3 linked regions of the Struthio camelus genome follow. The protein of the gene in region 3 purifies or fractionates together with the protein of the main gene of each other region. This does not show direct contact. Links are inferred from orthologs where the notes say so. Each region holds a gene or a part of one and is shown on either strand. Other genes may lie near its edges. The genes, in order: EXOC3, EXOC2 and EXOC6.

Evidence for each region.
Region 1: the proteins of EXOC6 (region 3) and EXOC3 purify together in Homo sapiens (affinity purification with mass spectrometry; 6 studies listed by BioGRID and IntAct, counting the BioPlex papers as one, with this or other methods). This does not show direct contact. The link is inferred for Struthio camelus from reciprocal best matches to the Homo sapiens genes EXOC6 and EXOC3.
Region 2: the proteins of EXOC6 (region 3) and EXOC2 purify together in Homo sapiens (affinity purification with mass spectrometry; 5 studies listed by BioGRID and IntAct, counting the BioPlex papers as one, with this or other methods). This does not show direct contact. The link is inferred for Struthio camelus from reciprocal best matches to the Homo sapiens genes EXOC6 and EXOC2.

Annotation. Positions count from the first base shown.
Region 1 is NC_090943.1:75,388,590-75,396,146, reverse strand, and holds the start of EXOC3 (exocyst complex component 3), read right to left. Parts: upstream 3,039-7,557; 5' UTR 2,914-3,038; exon of another isoform or gene 2,854-2,913; intron 2,742-2,853; exon of another isoform or gene 2,344-2,741; intron 774-2,343; exon of another isoform or gene 687-773; intron 1-686. Other genes in the region: dynein axonemal heavy chain 5, read left to right, coding at 3,279-3,493, 4,481-4,668, 6,215-6,315. UniProt on the Homo sapiens protein: Component of the exocyst complex involved in the docking of exocytic vesicles with fusion sites on the plasma membrane.
Region 2 is NC_090943.1:104,985,945-104,994,032, forward strand, and holds the start of EXOC2 (exocyst complex component 2), read right to left. Parts: upstream 3,083-8,088; 5' UTR 2,948-3,082; intron 1-2,947. UniProt on the Homo sapiens protein: Component of the exocyst complex involved in the docking of exocytic vesicles with fusion sites on the plasma membrane.
Region 3 is NC_090948.1:19,087,991-19,095,952, reverse strand, and holds the start of EXOC6 (exocyst complex component 6), read right to left. Parts: upstream 3,055-7,962; 5' UTR 3,046-3,054; coding exon 2,924-3,045; intron 896-2,923; exon of another isoform or gene 822-895; coding exon of another isoform or gene 739-821; intron 1-738. UniProt on the Homo sapiens protein: Component of the exocyst complex involved in the docking of exocytic vesicles with fusion sites on the plasma membrane.

The sequences.
Region 1 (7,557 bases), on a different chromosome or scaffold from region 3:
ATCAAGACACAAACTAATATTAGACACAAAATGCTGAACAGGCAAAGTTGCTGGCAATAGAAACAGACCTGTCCTTTCATGCTTCACTAGCTACTCATGGAAGACAGGAACGATCCCAATCACTGAAAATGCAAGAACATGCTATGCATAGAACTCCACAAGATATGAACATATCTGGAGTTCCTGGTTCCTTCCAGATGGTAAGAAACATTTTATATCTTGATTCCTGGAATCAAATAGGATGCTTCCAGGTTCTGCTCTGTTACTATGACAATCATATTCCGTCAAATCCATATTCTTCCTTGACATTAAAAACTTTCAAGGCACAGTGCATTAGTATATTCAGTAGATCACTTAAACTCTACATCTGTAATATCCTGACTCCACATGGAAGGCAGGAAATACTATATCACATTCTCCAACATCAGCACAATCTAGATGAGACAACAGAGGTAATGAGTATGTGTGTGGAAAACATTTAAGAACCACTTTTTTCAGATGGTCTTAACTGAAATCCTTATCCTAATTTAATACCTTTCCTGGTTAATATTTGGTGATCATACACAGGCTATATTCAAGAATTTTAAAAAAGACAGATTATACATTAAATTAACACATTAACAAATGTTAAATTAACACATAACCTTTGTATAGCACTTTTAATCCACTAATCAAGTCATTTTTACCTTTATGTTTCATAAGTACAACTTTTCATGCCAGCACCCTTAAACAGAAAAGGTTTAATTTCCATCAGGAAATTCTGGAAGAATAAGCTGTGTTAAAGACAAAAATGAACTATCAGCTTTATTACACGAAAGACAGTATGAAGAAACCGATCAATTTTCTGTGAGGAAGACTCACTAATCTGATTCCCTCTTCGCTGTTTTCAGCAAATGTAAGTTATTGATTTGTAATGCCGCCTTAAGATCTTCTGCATCAGCAACAGCTTACCAACTTAATTTGAGATCTGATGAAGAACCATACAGGGTGCACAGAACTGTGGAATTAACGCAAGTCTTACCCTAATAATGCCATGCTAGCAGCTATATTCCTCCACTACTACTGCACAGCATGGGGCCTTCTAACCATTGTAGGCCTAGGCATTGATATTACATAACCTGACACATAAGGTCTAAATCATCAGTCTAGAAAAAGTAGAGAAACTTGCAGGCAACGGCAAACATTTTGAATAAGTACTGCTGTAAAATTTGTTAAGGTCTCAGGAAGGAGAAAGAAGGAAATTTTAAAACATCAGTTTGATCTACAGTTAATTACATTTTAAATGCAGAATAAAGACCACGTTACTGTAAAGATATTATGTGTCACAGAACTAAAATTGTTTTAGAGTCTCGATTACATTTCACATCAACCTGCATAGACTTCTGTTTGAATTAATGGTTAACTTCCTGGTTTTACAGCATTTATTCTTGGATAACGTAACATCTCAGTAATAAAAAGCTTTCACATTAATATGGAGCATAAGTAACCTCTATTTTTCCTGCATTATAATAGTTTTAGCTTTATTAGAATTAGCTATTTTAGAACTTTGCAGGGTTAAGAAAGATTTCAGGTACAGTTAACCCAAAAGCTAGTCTATTTCTTTCTCAAGTTTGACTTTTTTATGATCAGCCTTCAAAAATTACATGTCTAAAGAGTGTTTATAACAGAATTACTTTTGCAGTATAAACTCATACCCTACTTTACCCCCTCAGCTTCGCAAACATACCCATCACTTCTCTGCTAATAACCCATTTACCCTAAATTAAGTTTGATTTCCTACTCCACATTTCAGAATAGAGGATCTACTCCTACCACTCACACTTTGTAACAAATACCCTATTTCTGTTTAGCTCAATCCACTCCTAAGCTGTCACAAACATATCTACAATCAAAAAAACCTGTTATTTTTAAATATGGACTTACTACAGAAACAGCATCTATGGCAGATAGTTTTATGCTGAATTACTTCCTTTATTAACAAATCTGGATACACTCAATATAATTATACTCTAACTCACAGAGCCACTATCCTGGTCTATTAAGTATGTCCCACAAAGAAAGTTAGAAGCCAGTATGCCGTAACACCCTAAGCTTAGGTAATCACACCTAAGCTGGTATGATTGCATACCAGCTTGCTAAGGTACACAGGTTGTACAACTGCTACCTATTCATATAAGAGCAAACGTTAAGAAACAATGCCAACCTTTACAACCTTCTGGCTACGAGCCAGAACCACACACATCCTCAGAGCTATGTGCTGGAACGAGACACAAAGACAGACAGACAAACAGGAAGGAAGAAAGCAAGCAAGCAATCTTGGAAAAGCTTCAGTAGCAAGCATACCCTCATCCCCTCATCCTCTGCACCGAGGTTCCAACTGTGAAACCAAGAAGCCAGCGAGCAATACCACCAGTTCCCAGGGGAGCGCCTGCGCCCCGGCGCGAGCCTCCCCACCACGCAGCTTCCCCTCCTAACACGGCACACAGGAAACGGCGGCGACCCCCGGCCCAGCCCCGTTCCCTATCGGGGCCGCGCAACCCGAGTCATCGGCATCGACGAAGGTGCCCGCTGCTGCTAGGCAAAGGCCGGAGACCTGCCCCGAGCGCGCAGGCCAGGCTGCGGACCCGCCATGGTCGCGCCCCTTCTGCCTCGGCGGAGGCCCGCGGACAGGGCTCCTGCGCCACAGCGCGCAGGAGGAGCCCTCAGCCCCTCTTCGGCCCCATGATCCCGAGAGGCTTCCCGGATCGCTCAGCTCGGCCCGGCCCCCCTCCACTTCCCGTTCCAGACTCGAGCAAAAGCTCGGGTCACTACAAACAGCGATAGCCTAGCAGGAGCCGACACCGCAGCGCTCACCGGCTGGGGCTTTGGCGCAGGGCCAGGGGTGGGAGAGCAGGAGCCCCAAACACTACTTACGGGCTCCAGCCTACTCCCCAGCAGGGCAGTGACAGTCACGCAGCGCGCAAGCGCCACGGTCACCCAGGGGCACAAGACCCGGCGCGCAAGCGCAGAAGAAAGCTCATCGCTTACCCACGACTAGTGGCTAGTGCGCATGCGGGCTAGACTTACCATTTCACCTGTTAGGGCAGCGGTCTGCGCCTGCGCGGGCTCGGAAATGGGGCGGGAAGGGGATGTTCATGCTTCTAAAAAGTCTACTCTAGGAGGGAGGTACCGCCTCTGGCTCTGTAGTGACGGTGGAGTGGCTTGCCTTGTTCTCGCTAAGTAGCCTCAGTCTGGTGTGGAGGCGGTTGTGTAAACGCGTATGGGTAGACTATTAAGGGATGCAACCTAGCTGGCGGGAGCGAGGGGACGCCGGCTGCTCCCTTATGGGGAGGGGGGCTTCGGTAGCCTGCGGGGCTGCAGGCCGCACCTCCCCCTCTTCCTCAAGCTTTGATTGTTTTTGCAGTCTTTCAGTTTTGAGGTGGCTGTTAATATTTTGGGACCTTAAGTCAAGGTTTTCAGAGTCTGTGAAAAAAAGATGTAGAAGCTTTGTCAGGTATTTAACGTTTCAGTTAAAATGGTAATATGTTGCTACAAAAGCAATAGGTCTTAGGTATCAGCTACCTAAGAACCTGGGAACCACGTGATACCTTTCAGCTCTATCTACAAGTGACTTTGCCCAGCAGAAAAAAAGAGAAAGTCATCATTCGATTATTTTTCTTAGCTGTATCTCTTCATATTTTACACAGAGGCCAGGTGGTTGTTATTTTGCCAAGAAGGGTTGTGTTTAAGAAGCGTTACTTCATTGCTGGGATACAGCTAGCTATGCCCTCCTGTGGCTCTTTGTATAACTCTGCTGTGTACATGTTTCCTAGCAACAGTGCGTTTAAGAGGCTCATGGAAACTATATCCTTAAAGATTTATTTCCTGCTAAGAGAAAAGTACGTTGCTTGAAAAAACAGCCAAACAAAAAAAAAAATCCTTGGGAGCAGTTACAAAATCAGAGCTTCACTGGTGGTGAGAGACTGGGGCAAATGAGGTGCCTTCGGGGTGCGAGGTTGTTAGCTGGGTTTGTGTAAGGGTTGCCATAGCAGCTGAGCAGGCCACGTGCACCCAGCAAGGCATCCCATCTGGGGGTGAGCAAGTGCCTCACCTAGCACTCTGTGCCCAAAGCTTTGCTTTGGACCTGCAGCGCTCTTAACAAGAGGGACCTTAACCTCTCCCTCAAAGGGTGAGTTCCCACCTCCAGAAATTTGAGTGGTCAGAGAAAAATGATAGTTGTGGAATTAAAGGTTTGTTAATGGGCAAACTTGAATGGGTTTTTATTATTCTGTAGATTGCCAGCTAAAGCTGTTTGGAAAATGATACTGGTTTGCTAGATCTTCTCCTTTTAAATTACCAAAAGTAGATAGAGGAAATGTTTTTTTTTTCCTCACTAATATATCATATGGGATGCTATAATGGGCATAAAAATACTGAAGATGTGGTTGGTCCTTGCAGTGTTACATTGTCCAGTTGTTTGTTTTCTGTACTGTTAATTTAGGTTATTTTATGTGGTGCTGGAGATGGAGGAGCCAGTGGGAGGTGAAACTGAACTAGAGGGAAGAGTTAAGCCTAGTTCTTCTCCTTATCACTTTGCACAGCGGGAATCAGAAGAAGAACCGAAAGAAACACAGCTTTCTTCCAAACCTGACATTGGTCTCTGTCCACCTCTCATTGCTATAAAAAAAGGTAAGGGAGGAAATATTGGCAAACACTTCATGTACGCTTTATAGGGAAATAACTTTTTCAAGGATAAAATGAGAAACTGATTATTAAGTACAATGTTTGAATTTATAACAGATGCCCATAAATGCTAGGCATATATATTTTGCATAGAGCCATTTTTCTGGAACTAAATTGAATAGTACTCTAAGAAAAGAATAATGGGGATTTCCTTAGCAAATAACTAGCTTATTCCTGAGCTTGTTGCATTTGTCGTAAAAGCTAGAACAATGTTAATGGGTTAGCATTCAAATAAAACTGCTGATTGTGTGGCATTTGGTATGGCATCTCTCTTTTGGGATATATTAACAGTGACAGTAGTTTTCAATAGCATACTCGGAGGAGACTTCATTTCAAAACAGACACAATCTACAAGAAAATTTATAAGGATGTTATTAGAATATTAATTTTAGTCACAATCTTATTATTTATGTTTTAGAATAGATTAAGCAATAGTTCCAATTAGCTCCAATTAAGCAATTAGTGAGTCACTAATTATCACTATTGCATGCTCTGTTGAAGATATTACTCGCTTCAAGGGATAGGACCTAAATATCATCATCTGAGAAATAAATTGGTTGCTTTTCTTGGAAAAGACCAAGCTGTAGTAATTAAAAATAGTATTCTTGGTGCCTTTCAATTAAATATTTTTAAAGACAACAAATACAATATTTCTGTTAAGGACAGATAAATCAATATTTAGGAATGCTTTGGTAATTAAAAGTAAATTAAAGGAGAGAGCTGGACAAAAAATGAATAAGGTGGCAGGCTGCAGAAAAGTGCTTGTACTAAGTATCAGGACAACATTAATAGTTTTATATGTTACTAAAACCACTTTAAAATATACAAATCATAATTTCTAGAAAAAAATAAAGGCATACAATAAATTGTTGATTAAATAAATCAAAGGGCTTCAAAAGCTCTTAAGGAGATTTAAGTGATCAGCAATGGATAGTTACACACGCTAATGATAAGTGTACTGTTTTCATGGCAAATATTAGCAGTCCCTATAAATCCTGGTTATCAGTCTTCTGCATCTCTGGCAGACTTGCTACTTGCAGATGCTTTTTAACAACTTGAGCGCATGGAATATCTGAAGAATAAAGAAGCAACAGCTGAGGAATAACTGAGAGACAATAGCAAGAATGGAAAGTGGCAATATTTCAAAGAGCCTGTGATTTTTTTCCAGAACTGACTTCTGCAAGCTAGTCCTTTAAATTGCTTTTTCTTACCTCTGCTATTATCAGTGGGGATTCCTTGCAAATTAAACTTGAGATAAAAACCATCATGAGACATTTTTTCTTATAGAGGCTTCTAAGAGTTTCTGCTGAGGCATAGTTTTTCTAGCTGTCCTTTCATGTCTAACTTTTCCTAGCCTGAGAAAAAAGGTTAGCCAGCAGATGTTAAGACAGAATGTGGTAACTTTTCCAACATCATTGCAGGTCTTGTAAATGCATTTATTGCACATATACCTGAATAAGAATAATTATAACTGGTCACTTCTTTGTCCTAGACGCGGAAAGTAAGCACCATAGGCGTAGAGGTGTCTTGAAGACAAGGAGCACTGAGCTAGGATCTGCTGTCACAGGATCACCTCTGACTGGTGCTCTTCTGGCAAGTGTTTTCATTCCAAAATGGTGGTTACTCAACTGCTTCGGTCTGTTAAATTTTCTTCTTTACAGGTTATTCTTGAAGTCTTCTTTGGCTGGCAGAACTTGACCCAGGACTGAAGGGTGCTGAGTTCAATTAATATCTTGTTAATTTCAAGGAACAAGAGCAATGAACTACTCAAAAGTGCATACGATCTTAGGCCCTTTACTTCTTGTGCTTACAATGTTATTTTGAGGGTCATCTACTGGTTAATCCCCTTTCTTTGCCAAGGTGAAAATGAATATTGGTTAAGAATATTTGAATAAGGTTATGTCTGCATCATCACATGGGAATATCTCACCTCATTTTGAATTAGTTAGCTTAATTTGTGAAATTGGTTTTGCCCAATCAATCTAGAGCTCTGAACAGGCCACTTTCACTAACGTAATTCAGATGGTGAAAATACATTCTCTTTCTGAATCTATTCATGATCTATGCACAGATGTTAGTTTAGTTTATGCCGTATCGATCTCACAATTTTCCTGCAAAATACAATTTTTAAATTACATACATAATTCGCTAGTGAGGTGAGATGATATCTGACGTCTGATATGTATAGGCTGTGAAAACAGTAAAGTATATTTAAAAAAATAGAAGCTTTTCTGTAACACTATCAGAATATTACACTTTTTTTTTTAAATCTCAGACACTATTTAGGTTATCTTAAATTATGTTTGGTCATCTAATACTGTCACTGTGACAAAGTGTCAGTGATAGTGAGACAGTACAGAGGAAACAACAGGCATTTGACATCTAGTATCTTTACTAAGACAGAAGAAAAAAATTGCTATCAAAGATACAGTAAAAGCCATATTTTTATGCTTACAGCCATTAGGTCTCTAAAAGGCATTATAATATATTTTATGAATACCTGTTATCTATAATAATTATGTATTCATTAATATGGGAGTTTTTTGGCTTTTGTTGAATGACATCTGGATGGAAGGACAGTGAAACTAAACACTGCATCACGGAAGGCACATGCAAAACGAGTTTCTGTCAACTCTGGCTTGCATGCTAACTGGGACCTGTGTGAGAGGTTGAGACCTGCGTGAGAGAATAAAGAAGTATAAATCAAAAAAGATGTGGCTTTTAGAGATGTGAGAATGGTACTGATAAATAGCTACAGTTATTAAGGCATGCATGTGTATGATGAGATAGAATCACAGAATGGCCAAGGTTGGAAGGGACCTCTGGAGGTCATCT
Region 2 (8,088 bases), on a different chromosome or scaffold from region 3:
TTATTTTTAATGAAGTAGATTCAGGGGTAAAGACCAGAAGGAATAGAATTAAAGTAACTCAAAATTGACGTTTATTTCCAAGTGTAGTGCTTAAGACGTACTGAATTTACAGCTAAATGAATAAATACATTGAAATAAATTAAAGTAAGGTTTAACACAACATACCTTAAAATTTTCACCACTAAGAGGCCGTGGACTCTGTGTTTCTAGTCTACCCACTTAATTGCTTTAGTTCAACTTCATTGGGAGGAGCAGCATAAGAACAAACTGCATTAATTATCAGTGGATACAGATCCTTTCTAATGGGACCTTGGGCAAACTATCAGTAGATTACATGTTATATCTTTATTGTCTGTTTTTGCCTCAAGAACTCTCAACAGCTACCAAAAAAAAAAAATGCTTCAGAATTGCAAGAAATCCTGCTACTCAAAATACTAAGATCTGAATGCTACAGATTCAAAATTATTCTGTGAACATTAGTTACCTCTTTTACTGAAAATGAACCAGTTTCCCCACGCGCACACAAAAACACTGCTCAAAGGACAAGGTGTTGAATTAGTTATTAAAGTTATTTCTTGCTGTTTAAGTTAATGACTTAGACTTAAAAGGAGTTTTTGATTGATTTTGAAAAATGTCCATTGCTTAGGCTATTTACTACGAATTTCTGATAAAGCAAATATAAAAGAATTAAGTGTCTGAACTAAGTCTCTGAAAAAGTGTGATTTACTGAACCAAGACCATGAAAACCCAAGACAACTCTACCTTACTGTATCAAAAAAAAAAAAAACACACACGTTTGATTGGTAACATGCTTTAATTAAATAGCTTCACCTCTGACACATACTAAAAAGACTAAATTTCCCATACAGAGGAAAAAAAACTTGGCATTACAATGTAAATTAGTGGCATTTTTACTGACATAAGTCACACTAGCATAAAGAAAGTAATCGCATCCTGTTTCATATGAATATTAAGACAACAAAAATCCCATATGAGTAAAAGCATCATTTTCCGAGGGCGGGCATAAACCACAAAAACTGTAAACTAAGCTATCCATGGGAAAGAACGCAGCAGCAGGGCACGCCTTTTGCTGCTTCTTGCTGGGTCAGTGCAAGTTGTGACAGATAGCAAGAATCAAACAGCTATTTTCTTCTTCACCTGAAGAAGAAAATAGACCTTTTTCCTAAGTCACAAAGTTGTTCATCTGCACTTTAGAGAAAAAAAAAAAAAAAAGAAGCCCTTTAACTATTCTGATGACTTTATCAAAAGCAAATTCAAACCAAAAGGTTTATAGTACTGAAACACACACAAATCATTACAGGAAGAAAAAAGTTTACTTATTTTAAGAATGATCAGAAAGTCAGGGAAGTTATAATAAGACTACTATTTTAAACTAAAATTTAAAGTGTGGATATTCATACTTTAGATTTAATATGATGGTCTGTCAGAGCTAAGATTGCTTAATACTTTATTGGCTTTCACTTCAAAGCTTTCTAGTATATAGTTAAAAACTGTTAATCTAACAAAGAGCAAGCAGTGAACCTGGAGAGAATGACAAGCTCTCCTTTGGAAACAGGGTCATTCCCGTGCTCAGACATCCATTCCCCCTGAAAAAATATCCTATTCAGCTTCCCAGTTAAAATATTGGAGAAGCAGGGAGGGAAGACGTTTGGTCACCAGCTCATAGACCCTTCTGGACTGCAATGCTGTCCAAGTGAGGGAGAAATTTACATCTGGGCAGAAAGGACAAAAAAAGAAAAAAAAAGGTCACAAAAAAATGTATCATGTGGAGGCAATGTATCACTACCAGTTAGTTATCAATGATAGTAATCATCTCTTAATCATTATATGCTATTTTGGTTTGTTCCAAACAAACTACATTATACTGTCTTCTTATTATATTTGCCTAATTGTGCATTTATTTCGGTAAGCAGTTTCTGAAAACTTGCCGTACCACTGAATGTGGATTTAAGAAATCAGACCCTCGAGTAACCAGCTCTTCAGGAGTCAGACCGTGCCCTCCCCTGCTTATTTCCTCTACTGCCCGTGCCCAACACGGTCACAATAATAATTTAAGGTCGTTCTAGACAAGTCTCAGTTCAGGGTATAACCAAGGCGGAACAGAAGCAACTTTACAGTGTTCCCGAGAGACCATTGTGAGGAATGAAACGGGTAAAACCCTCTACATGACACTCTGTCCGCAGGCTTTCAGGGCCTGTCCCACAAGCCCCCGAAAAGAGCTCCCTCACAAGCTCCCTCTCGGTATAGAGCCGAGACAGAGCACTACCTGGCTCGAGTGTAACCTCTCCCGGGCACCGTCCCCCACACAAACACCCAGCTGGGAGCAAGACACCGCGGGCGCACCCTCCCCTCCCGGAGGGGCCGCAAACGAGCCCGCATCTCCTTGCCCTGTCAGCGGTGCCCTGCCTCCCGTCAGCTGGCTGGGGGCAGGGCAGGGCAGGCGGGCTGCTGAAGCCGGGCAGTCACAGTTTCCCTCCCCCGCCAGGCGGCCCGGCCGTCCCCCTTCCCCCCGCCCAGGGCCGAGTCTCAGGCAGACAAGCCGGGGCGGACAGGTAGCGGCGGACCCCTGGGGCGGGGCGGAGCCAGCAGGTGCCTCGAGGGAGGCCTCAAAGCGCGAGACGGCAGAGAACAAACGACTCCTTCCACCTCCCCCCGCCCCGGCCCCAACGGCCGTTAACGGCACCTCCGTCCCCGCTCCCGAGGCAGGGGCGGGGCTTGGAACGCGGCACTCAACCCCGCCCGGCGGGCGCCAGCCCGACCCCCCCCCCTTTCCCCCGGGAGGGGAGGAAGGAGACGGGGCTGCCGACGGCAGGGCAACGGTCTCCGCCCCAGCGGGGGGAAGAAGCCGGAGCTGCCCCGCTGAGAGCCGGCTCCGCAGAGCCCAGCGGAAGCACAGGGGGGCGGGAGGCCACAGATTGTCACTCACCGGCCGCCGCCGCCGCTGCCGCCGAGTTTGTATCCGGCACCTGGGGCAGCTCCGCTCCCAGCAGCGCCTCCGCGTCCGGCAGACACAGGCACCTGCAGCCGCTGCCCGATAAAATCGATGGAACCCGGAGCAATCGAGGAGAAGCGGCCGCTCCCAACGGCCGTCGTGCTCCCAAGCCCCGCCCCCTTAAAGGCGCAGACCGTGGCGTCTGGCGGAGTCGGGCTGGTGGAGGGAGCCTTGGCTGCGGCCCCCCCCACATCCACCCACGCACCCCACACCGGCCCCCCGCACACCCCAAGCCCCCCACATCCACCCACGCACCCCACGCCGGCCCCCTACGCACCGCTTCACACCCCACACCTGCCCCCCCCACACCACTTCACACCCCACAGTTTCACAGCCCACACCTGCCGTCCTGCACACCCCAAACCCACCCCCCGCCGTGCTCCGCTTCACACCCCACACCTCCCTTCCCCTCACCCCCCCGCACACACTGGAAACAAGCAGCCAGCAAATAAAGGTGCCGTCGAGCACCAAGAGTTGGTCCTCTTGTGGAAAAGGAGGTGAAACAGAGTAATGAAAAAGCACAAAACGTAATAGAAGTAACAATAATAAAGATTTGGTTTTCCCCGAGCGCTGTATCGAGGTTGCAGCAAGCAGAAATTCTTCCAGAAGTGTGTGGAATTTGGGGACCTCCGTGTTTTTGGCATGAGATTCCGGGCCTGGGACTTTGGGGGCTGTTTGACTGTGTGCGGGAGGAAGGTGGGGAAGAAGAAACATGCGTGGGGGTGGAGAGCAGGGCAGTTGGTTGGTGGGGCGGTTGGTTTTCTTGCTTCTCTTGGTCGCCTCATGCCTGAGTTTTGTCTGTAAACTGCAGGTGTGGTCACGGCACGGAAAGGGATGGCCATGGTGCCTCCAGGGCTGGGGACCACTTGTGCCTGTGTCCAGATAAAAACGTCGGTATCAATTGCCTTTGGAGGCAAGTCCAGAGTCGAGGTGTAGCCGCGGGGTGACTTTTTGGTTTGCAAATATTCTTCTTCAGAAAATCACTTTAAAATTTATTAATAAAACAAAAAAAACCCCAAAGGATCTATCCCAGCCAGACCTAAAGTGGGCATTTCTGGCCTAACCTTGCTGTGTCTGACCCTTCTCCCATTACTCCCCAGATGAGTAGAGTCAGGCATACAGCTCTGTCAGACTTTGCGTATAGTTAAGTGCATAGCAGATCTAGCCCTGAGCTTATTTACAGCAACACTGCACTGCCTGCATGGTTCTTCTGAGTATAGTTTAAGTTGCTCAGTCTCTAAAATGCTGAATGGCCTGAGCTGGACAACAAGCTGGAATTTCCCTCCCCTTTAAATTTTATTTTGAGGTCAGGAGCGATAACAAGATTTTTCATCCGATCTGTCAGAAATATATATATATCCTCAGAACTGAAGGGGGGAAACCTGTAAAATTCTGCTTTAGGAGACTTATGGAAGCTTTTTTTCAGGTTATTCCTCTAATGGGCTGACCCCACCCCAGGCAGCGACTTTCTGGAACTACCGCAGTCTCCGCAGAGCTGGTCAGAAACAGGATACAGCTGCCGTGGATGCTGGGGAAGCCTGGGCTGTCTGGCAGCCAAGTGAGCAGGCAGGCAATGCTATCTGTTAGAGCTAAGTAATGCAAAAGAATCTTCATTTTGCAATGAAAAAAATTAGAATATTTTTAACTAAACCTGCTGTCTCCCCAAGACACCTCTGAACAGAGGCTCTTTTCCTTTTTGGGAAGGGACAGGAGGATTGTCCTTTTTCCATTTTTGCTAGGATTGTTTGGAATTCATCTGTAAAAACCCAGTTCAGATGGAGTCTAAGTGGAAAGGAGAGGGAAAACAGAAAGCAAACACAGAAGGAATAATCAGTTGCTCAGTTTCACTGACCTTGACCTAACATATACTTTGTGGGAAAATAAATTAACTTTCATAAAACCTCAAAGAACTTTCAAGAAGCATTATGGCCAAGAAAAGTTATTTCTCTGACTTTTTTTTCCAGAGGTGAGAGTTGCCCAAGCTACGTTACTAGGCTGTAATATCTCAGCACATGAACAAACAGTGCTTTTCTGACTCTTTCTTCTTGCTCGTTTAAGTCAGCACATAGCATCCATCTGGGGAACAATGAGAGTGTTTGGTACCTGTCCCTAATAATTTCCAAAGTTATTATTTGTGACTCAGCAGTTTTTTTGCAAATATGAGGTTAAGAAAAGTTGGCACAAAAAGTAAAGTTGGCATGACATTAAAAAAAAAAATCTATTTGCCACCCGTTTCAAAATGATGCTTTTCTTTCATGACATTCTGTTAGCATCATCTCATTAGAAGCTTGTCAGCAGATGTGCCAAATAAAACCACTAAATTGAAAGGTTTGGTTGATACAGAAGGCACCGTCTCATACTGTACACACTTGGGTCCTAGCCCTGCCAAATGCTTTCTGTGAGTGGATACCTGTGCCCAAAAAAGCCTGTTGACTTTAGTGGGGGTCCATAAAGGAGCTATCTGCGGAGAAGATTTTGCAATAAACAGCCCAGAATTTAGTAGCTCTCTTCCCTTCATTTTTAGAGGTTTAAACAAGCTTTTTCTCAGCTGCTGCTTGGCCATATTTTTGTTCAGATCTTTGTCCTGGTGAACCTGTCAGAACAGCACAACCCGAGTAAACTCAGCAACAACAGAAACCTTACCTATAGTATATGTAGGTTCATCTCAGGCATACACATACGCAAATTCTCCTACTGCCAACAGTGGCATCTAGGACTTTTATGATCTCCAGGGGGCCTGGATAAGGCAGCCGATGAGGAGCGCTCCTGTGTGCAGCGCTTCACTGAATCTACAGTGGGTATTTTTTTCCAGCTGATGTACAATGACCATGTGGTTACCATCACCTCCCCATTCAGTGTCTCCAAAACAAAGGTGACAGTAACTGACTATGGATTGGACCCAGTGGAGAAAATAAACCCTGCCTCACATATCTTCAGGACAAATGGAGGAAAATTAGTGCTCTTATTATATCCATTCATCCATCCATCCATATATGTATATATCTCATAAATATGAGAGATCATAATATGTAGTATATATATATGCTGTCGTGTATAATGCTGTTAATATAAATATATTACTCCATGGAACTCCAGGCACCATTAAAGAGATTAATCTATGCTATTAAAATTGAGGAAAGAAATGACAAGTTGTAACATAATGTCCTGGTAAATAGTAAGTGTATTATACCTCAAAGAGGTCAGAAAAGTAATTGCTCATCCATGCCTTTTGCTAATCCATTTATGCAGATTTGACAGTGATCTGCAAACAATACATCTCTTTACAAAGTTGGATAAACAGATTTGAAAGCCAAGAGGCATTATTGTGATCATCTTGTCTAACCTGAATATTAAAAGCTGTAGACATTCCTGCAGCCATTCCCAAACCAAGCTCTTCGTGTGGTTGTTTCTTAGACATCTACGTTTGATTTTAAAGAGTGGGAGAAATGGGAAATGCATCGCTGTATTTCCTGAGATTTAACAGTGATTAGTCACCCTAACATGAAAAAAATAATGGACACAAATATAAATTTTATTTGAAAGCTAAATTTGTCTAGCTTCAGCATCTGATTGTTGCATTTTTCTGCTCCTAGATTGCTTTTTGTTATCGGAAATGTCTTCCTTTTGAAGATACTTGTAAAATATAGTGGATTCACTCCTTCATCTTCTCTTGATAAACTATATGGATTCAATTTTGATTCCTTACTGTGTAACAGCCATTCCAGAGAAATGTTGTTTTCCTTCCCGTAGGCTTTCAAACTTACAGCTGTCACCCTTCTTTTCTTGACGTGGGAACATCAAAAACAGAACTCTCCATGCTTGTATTTGCTTTTGTGAGTTTAATATTATTAGTGAATTAGTGAAATCTAAGGAACAGAAAAAAGCTAAGGCTCATAAGGCTGAAAATGATATCGAGAAATCATCTTTTCTCGTCCTTTTCCTTACCGCAAGATAGGATCAACTATTCCTTTGTTATAGCATAAATGTTTTTTCAGTCTTGTTCTTAGAGACTTCTCAGTATGGTGCTTTTATCATCTCCTCAGGCAATATATTCCATTGCTTTACTACCCTTATCATTACGGGCATTTTTCCTAATGTGTAACCTGAATATTCCTTATTGCAATTTCAGTCTGTTGCTGATAGTTCTGTCTTCACTGGACTCAGACTGACTGTTTGCTTCCTCCCTGAACCAGCCTCTTACGTGTTTAAAGACTCTGTCCCCTCTACATTCTTTTCCTCTTTAGGCCAAACAGTCCCATTAGTCTCCTCATGTTTTATATTTTCTAGATTGGTAATCGAGCTTGATCTCTTCTGGACTCTTCTCCAATCATTCAATGTCATTCTGTAAATGCAATGCCCAAAGCCAAGTGTGCTCCAGGTGAAAAACATTTAAAAGAGAATTAGTTCCAGCTGAAGTCTCACCATTGGTGAGCAGAGCAAAACAATTGCTTTGCACATTTGGCAGGCTATCTTCCTGTTCCTACATGCTTTTACGGCATTTGCCTTTTGACAACAGCATAACAATGTTGACTCGTGTTTGGCCTGTGATTCACTCTACATCTTTTTCTATGCAACTGTAACCATGTTTACTTTTTCCCTTCCTGTTTCTGGGGAATGGATGATTCTGTGTGCAATATACTACGCTTGCACCTATCGAGTACTGTCTTCTTTGGCTTTATTTAAACAAATTCTCTAGTTTGTCAAAATCACTCTTAATTCTAATTCTCTTCTCTAATACACTATTAGCTGCTCTCTTCTTCATGTCCTCTGCAACTGTAACAAGCTTAATTTCTTCTATTATTCAGATGTTTAATAAGCAGCATCAGATTCAGGATAGACCCTGCAGGAAAATCTTTCACTATCTCTTTCCATTTTGATAGTGTACCGTTTTGCTAACTCTTCCCCAACTATTCTTTTTCCAATCCTGTCGGATTTTCAACCCAGAACATACATGTCTTTTCTTACATTTGGGAAACATTCACAAATGCCTTACTAGAATGAAGATACCTGACATTTTCCTACTTCTTCCCTGTGTACAACACCTATTACCTTATTGTAAAAGGAAATCCGATTGG
Region 3 (7,962 bases):
CTGCATCCCCCCAAACCCGAGCACTTTTTGCCCTGAACACCCTTATTTCCTGCCTCCGGGCTCTGCCCTGCTCTCCTCAGCTCAGGCCGGGGGGCACTAACGTCTTTCTCTCTGACAGGAAAGGTTAAGTAAAACCGTTTTGGTGTGTCAGCCAGTAGGGGAAAAAAAAAGAATTAGAGAGGAAAAAAAGGTATATGTACACACACACACACACACACATATATAATCACTGAAATTGTGGTGTTTTGAGAACGCTCCGACCAGCCGCCAGATGCCCAGGGCAGGGGACGCGGCCCGGCGCAGGAGGCCTCAGGCGAGCCTGCGCCCCTCCGCACCGCCCCGGCAGCCCAGAGCCGACCCTCCGCCCGCGCCGGCTCGCCCCGGGGCTCGGCTCCGGCCCGCTCCGCCGCCGCGGCAGCTCCTCCTCCGCGGGGGAGCCCCACGCCGAGCCCGACGGCCCGGCCCGGCCCCGCTCCGCCGAGGGGCCGCCGCAGCCGGGCGCGCTGACACCGTCCACCGCGGGGCGGCCCGGGCCCGGGCGCGGCGCCCCCGCAGGCGCGGGCGGCCCCGGCGGTGTCTCCGGGGAGGAGCTGTCAGCGCGGCTGCCGGGCCGCGGCGGCTCCGCGGGCCGGGCCGGGCCGGGCAAGGCAGGGCAAGGCAGGGCAGGGCGGGCCGCGGCATGGCGCGGCGGGGGGGAAGGGGGGGAGCCTGCGCGGCCGCGGCGCCCCGCGCCCTCACCTCAGGGTGGGTCCCACGCAGGCCGTGTCGGTGCTCTCGATCTCCTGCAGGATCCGATCATGCTCGGGCAGACTCTCCGCCATCTTGGATGGGAGGGACCCGGCGGCCGCGCCGCGGCGGGAGGCGCCGGGGCGGGACCGAGGGCGGAGGGAGGCGGCGGGGAGGGCCGGGCCGGCCGCGCCGAGGTGAGGTGAGGAGCAGGAGCGGGAGCGGGAGCGGGAGCGGGGCAGGCGGGGGAGAGGCAGGTGGATCGGGGCCGCGCCCGCCCCGGCCGGAGCCCGGCGATGGCCTTCAGCCCGCGGCGGCCTCTCCGCCGGCCCGGGCAGCGGGGACCGGCTGTCCCGGGCTGCCGCCGCGGCAGGGGGAGCCGCAGCACCCCGGGCGCTGCCCTGCACGGGCGGCTGCGCCGTCCTCGCGGTGCTGTTTTAGAGCAGCCCGTCAAGGCCGAGGGGGCTAGAAGGGGCTTTTTTTTTTTCTTTTTTCGGTGGGCTACTTGTGGGTCGTTCCTTGGGCTCGCCCGGAGCGAGGCGGCAGGTGCAGCGCCGCCAGCCCCGAGTGCTAGTACCAGGCCTAGTGCTAGGCCTTCCCCCCCCCCCCATTGTTATGATTATTCAGTTTAGACCAGCTACCTCTTCTCTGTCTTCGGCAGACAGGACTGGGGGGGCTGGGGCGCAGGTAAGCCGTGCTGCGGGAGCGCACCGTTTTGCGTAAGCATCGCCCTGCGTTGCTTCCCCAGCTTATCCGGTTCACTAGAAACTTGCATATTGTTTCCTGCATTGCTGTAGCTTGTCTTCGGCTGTCCTTGCGCGCGTGCACAATGGGGTTCCATTTTTCAATGAAGAAGGAATAACTCGTTTTCTATTTAAATTATACACTTTGTGGTTTGTGGCTTAAGATGAGCTAGTCCTTGGGTTTTGCATGTTCAGGAGACAGGATACACCTGCTTTCAGGGCAAAGTTAGCTGTGCACAACTGGGAAGCCAGCGTAAAGAGATAGGCCTTTAGCATGAAACTTCAGAGTGGTGTCTGGCTACTTTTCCCAAGAAAAACTGACAGAAGTTTACAGCTATATATGCACGTAGGTCTAGACAGCAGCGAGCTACAATAACGTTTAGCATCCTTCCAGTTATTGCAACCAAACTTACCGTATCTCCTGCCCTGGTGCAGCTACGCTTGGACGCTAAGTTAATAAATGGCGCTTAAGACTAGGTACATCTTGTCTGTGCTTGTAGTTTTATCATATTTGCTGTTGATTCAGCTGAATTTATTGATGGCACCTACTGAAACAGCAGGGAGTATTCCAAATGTAGACAAGTGCCTACAAAGTGTGTACTGCAGAAAGAAAATAGGAAAAATCCTACAGGCTCTCTCTGCAGTAGTGTTTCCTTCAAGAAATCACTCAACTGCAGTAACAATTTTCCCACGTCCTTTTTTTTCTTCTTTTTTTTTTTTTTTTTTTTTGCGTCACCAAATTACTTTAGTAGACTGACGCATACATTTTTCAGGGTAAATTAAATTTACTTTCTTTAGCCTGGTAGTCACTGCAACCCGATTCCTACAATCCCAGGCAGGCTATTTTTAAATCTTTTCTACAGATACTAACAATATACTTAGGCTCATAACATCATAATCTTTTATATGTTACTTCTGTAGGGATGAATATCCAAAGGATTTTTTTCAGTTGCGCTTCTACCATTAAACTATTTCCATAAGCTGTAAATTAAATCATATTAAAATCTTCAGATATTTAGGGATATCCCTAAGTTAAACTTTACTCCGAGTAGCTGTGCCTTTAGAGAGAAGGTTGCATTCAGTAAAAATACAAAAATTAGAAGCAATTAATTATTCTTAAAAAATGTAGTTGTCAACCTCAAACTAAAAGCACTCTGTTACACAAAAGTGATTTTTCCCTTGTTTTCATGTTTAAATGTAATTTCTTTCTTCAGAGAGAACGTGCAGCCCGCCTTCACTAACAGCTTTGTCCTGATAAAAAGAAAGAGTTGAGTTGAGTCTTCAGTTTATACTTTTTGATTTAGGGCCAATCGCATTGGAATCAAATACAACTTTCCTGTAGATGTCAGTGTCAAGATAATCAACTTTCTAATACATTGGGCTGACTGCAAGAACAGCTATAGAATGGAGCAAATCCATCATGAACGATATAATATGATCTAAACGATGCATACCTTAGCGTGGTTCCCAGAGGCAGCTCAAAGGACTGGATCTCAGCAAGGGCATTTTCGTATATCTGATCTTTGTTGTCTTCTAGATACAACTCTGACATATTTGACTTGCTTTTCCTCGCCATAGATGAGCATAAAAACTAGTCTAACTTTAGGAGAGGACTTTTATTCTGATTATTATCGTTGACTGAGTGACTGCAGTCAGCAAAACCAGGCATGAAAAAACAGATCCTGCGCTAACCTCGTGACTCTTGAGGACTTTGTGTCCAAGAATGGTGCACAGCTGCTGTTTTCCTGTCTCCGCTAGTAACATTTGCCTCGTACGCAGTACCCAGGCCTGTACGGTCTTTGTGTGTGTGTGTGTATTCCGTTTATCTGAATATGAAACTTACTGGCAAAAATAGTATTTCTACATCCTCACAGTAGTTCACAAGTAATAAGCACAAAGCCTGAAATATAGTCAATTTGAAAACACAATTTTAAAGTCATTTCAGACACTGGCCCACAATGCTCACTCTGTCTGTCAAGTTTTGTGAGGTTAAAATCATGTTTTTATAGAAGATTGAATTTTTCCTTTTGCTGTGTAAAAAGCCTGTACAAACAAGTAATTGGCGGCTTTTATGAAGCAGGTTTATGGACTTTATAAAGTAAGCTGAAAAAAAGCACGGCAACTTTTATGTTCTCACCTTTTTCATTTTTAGCATTAGTAGATGCTATTTATAGTAACAGCTTGTAAAGAATGCTCTAGGATAACTGATTTTTACATGGCTGTGTTCCCCTATGCAGTAAACAGTTACTCATTTATTACGTGCGTTGCATTCCTGCAGGGAAAAGAATGAGGATGGACTCCTACAACGTTCAGAGCAATGCTGATATCAGATAATTATGATAATGGCAAAAATTTCAAGTAGTTATTTGGAACAAAGGCTGGAGTTTTAGATCCTTCAATTTAGAAAACTTATTGGAAGTCTAATATCAGCCTTCTTTATTATATGGCACAGTCAGTCTTACGATACGTGTCTATTTTTGATTTTTCAAAGATTTTAATGAAAATGTAGCTCTTATCTCAGCACCGCTCCCGATGAAATTAATATGAGTTTTGACACTCATGGTGCAGTCAACAGTTAAATGCAGGAAAACAGAAATTACTGGTTCCGGACTTGGGCAATATATTGTTTATTCACTTCTCTGTGCCCAGCAGGAATACTGAGACAAGTTTACCTCAGAAAGTGCTCTAAAGGGTGCAATGTGTTACATGCATCCAAATTTGTAAAGTCTTCCCTTGAATAAGCGTCTTTAATCATCTGTTTATTTTGAAGCCAAAATTAAGCAATTGTTCTGTTAGCATGAATATTCAGCGGATTTACTGCTTTTGTGTTCTAAACAGCGCTGTGAGCTATTTTTACACCTTTAGCAAGAAATGCATGCCTGTGATTGACCCATCCAGCCACTGGATGTCACACAAATGCAGATGAAAGGATATCTTAACTACCCGTTCTCATCTTGACAGATGCTAGGTTAAGTATTAATTACTAATTATGTGAGGCTCCTGTAAAAGTAAATTTAATAACTGCAAAAAATATTGCACTGATTGGCATTGGTTTCTAATTTATGAACTCGTTTGTCCTAGCTCTGTCAGTCATACTACACTTCTGATTTAAAGTTAAAAAGTTCTGAACGATCATCCCACTACAACTTCCTCTGGATTCACCCCTTTCTTACCAAACTTGTCGCTGCATATACATGCTAGATGGATAGTTTTAGAAGGCTCCTTGCAATCATCTTGTCTTCACAGCTTTACAGCAGCTTCACTGCGGGTTATTGCTCACCTGAGGTAAAGCTGCTAATTACTGATGAATGAATTTCCTGTATTTGATACAATCAACATACATTAAACACAAAAAATAACAGCTTGCTGCAGCAGCGTCTTACCACAGTCTGGGCCGTAGATTTACTCTAAAGCGCTACACAGAAGCTATTGGCCCTCTTCTGAAAAGCACAGTGTGGGGCCGCAACACTCACCTTTTGGCACCTAATTTATTTATTTGATCAGGCGCTCTCCGTTCTGCCCATAGTCAAAGGGGAAAGACAGGGTCCTCCACAGAGCGATGTAGATCACCTACCTTAACCTCTGCTCTACACCTTGCTCCACCAGAGCCTGCTCGTCTCCGAGATGTCTGTTTTGATCCCATTGCCTTCAACACAAGCTGCAAGTGGCCAAGATTGGATTGTTTCCCCCAAGGGGCACTAGAATTGATCAACTTTGCTGATACATACACGTCGTTATTTTGCAAAGCTTGGTTAACTAAATAACGACGTGTACGTATCAGCAAAGTTGATCAATTCTAGTGCCCCTTGGGGGCATCTTACTCTTATATTGGATGTCCTGGAAAGAAGCACAGTCCTTGGATGCTAAGAATGTTTGGCATTTATCTGCGCATACCAAAAGTTATTTTTAGGCAAGATTTTGAATAATTTCTATTAATTTCAAAAACAGACTTGTAAGCATTTTATTCTTCCAAATAACATGGCTATCAATAAGATATGTCTACCCACTTTTATTTGGATGAACACTTGTTTATTTTCTTTTGCAGTGGCTCATGATAACATGGCCCATGATAGAAGAAAGTGCATCTGCTGTCGCTGTGGCTGAGCACAGGCGAGCTAGATAAATCGGAGATGCCTTGGGCATCACACACAGTGACTTGCAAGAAAAAACGTGATGCAGCGATGGGAGCATGAAGCCATATAAAGAGTGCTCTTGTGATTGTTTTTTGGGGGGATTTTAAGTGAGTTTGATACTTACAGAGGCTTTGGATGTAGTTTCTTCTATCCCAAAATCTTACACACAAGCTTACTTTAGAAATAAATAAACTAAAAAAAACCAGTGCTTTAATTTGTTGTACAGATGTTGTTGCAGGTATCCCAGCTGCCTGCAAATAAGTAAGCTTAGTAACAAAACAAAACAATGTAAAAAGGGGCGAACAAATACAAAAATGAATCACCAAGAAATATGCAAATCTGATTGGTTGTGGAACTGGATATCAGAGGTACATGGCTTCCCTTTCCCTTTGGGTGCACAGAGTTAGAGTGAACTGCACCTGAACTGGCCGTCTGGCGCGCCAGAGTGGTTTGCACCCGCCTTGAAATTGTTCGGAGGCTCCAGTTGCTGTAGGATCACGAGGTGGTGGATCTGTATCTGCTCAAGGATCCACGGGCTAGGGTCCATTATGGCCGATAACGCGCAAAGCTCTTTTTGCTGCAGGAGATTTTGCTTCTTCCCTGTGCTGTCTTGTCCAGCCTGTTCTGCTTCTCCATCTCCATCTTCTGCTGCTCCCCTCCTGTGCTTATTATACATGCCCAAAGTCTGTGTCTTTCAGTCATACATAAGCTTTACCTTTTTCCAGGTGAGTTCAGGGTCACTCTCAAGAGCCTTTAGGAAACTGCCTTGTCCAAGGAAGAAAACTTTTCTGAGAAATAAAAGAAGAAAAATGCTGTATTATGACACGGCACAATCTTTTAGTAGGGTGGTGTATCTGAACTGCACATCTATGCATAACCTGTTCAGTTATTTTGCCTGTACATTGTCAGCAAAGAATTACTACGATAAGTACTTAATAGTTGATTAATTTCTCTCTTTTTATTTTATTTTTGAAAAATGTACAAGATCCACTAAGCTGAAAGGGAGAGTAGGAATAATCATTTCTGAGGCTTGATATTGTACTGGTTGAAACCCAACTTAATCAAGAAGCCTGAGAAGGTATTAATCTGCTACAAGTCCTTGACTGGAAAAGGGCAGAATTTTTCTAGGCTTGTTAAATTCCAGCGATTCCTGTGAAGGAGATATTTCATTGCCTACAGCCTGCACAGCCAGAAACCCTCAGGGCCTGTGAGCTGTACAAATCGCAGCTGAAATCTCTCCAATCATCCTGAGATTTTCCTGGGCAAAAATATGCCCAGGCCAGTCAGGAGCTAAGGAAAATTGAGGCAAATAAAAACAAGATTGTGATGCAGGATGCAGAGGCTTATCCAGAGCAAAACCGCTTTCTCCACATCCTTTCTCTCTTTCCTTCCCCTCCAAGATCTGCTCTTCCTCCACCCCAAACTGTCTCGTGACTGGGGATACAGAAGGCCAAAAACTCCTGTTCCAATATTTCCACTAACATAGCCTCTGAGGTTTAAATCTAGCATGTCTGGGGTAATGCTTTAAAAATACGGTTTACTGATGTGACAATTACAAAAAGAGTAGTATGTACCATAATATAGAGTCATGCCTGCTGGGTGTATAATTCCAGCGTAGATTACTTTTGGTTTGTTTTTTTTTAATAAGCAATGCAAACTTAGGAGCAGCAAGTCATTAGAGGCTCCTTTAATTATATTTTCCTGGTTGGAATCCATTCTAAATCATTCACAGAAAATGGGAGAGGTGAAAATGTCCACCCTCGCATAGACCTACTGTATGTACTTTTCACATGCGATACCCTGCATAACAAATAACTTCATTGGTCACAGCCTAGATTTCTCCTTCTCTTTATATGCTCTTTATATTTAATGGCACCAGTCATTTCTGCATCTCCTCTGGTGCTACCTCCTTCCACGGGCTCATCCCCAAACCGGACCCTGTTCAACACCACCTCCCTGAGCCACTTGGAGATATCTAAGGCTACTTCGCTTGCCTGGACAGAAAGGCGGTATTCAACAACCCACCCCAAAAGCTGCCGCTGGAGGACCTGGGTGAGGAAATGGGGGGACCAGGGGTGCCTGCCGGCAGGCGTTTGGATGAAGGTGACCCCCAAGCAGCGCAGCACTTGCCGGCTGCAGGGAGGCCGGCGCAGAGACCCAGGAGGGCGGCAGCTCATCGCACTGCTGCAGCAGCGGCGCCAAGGGCACGACAACAAGCAGCGCTAGGAGAAAAACCTTGTTGCTGGCCCCACAGTCGGGTCGTACGTACCTAACCACGCCGAGCTTTTCCTAGACACATTAACTATTTTCTACAGTACCGAGTGTTGCAGTCAGCAACTTCTGGGCTAAAACAGTTTGTG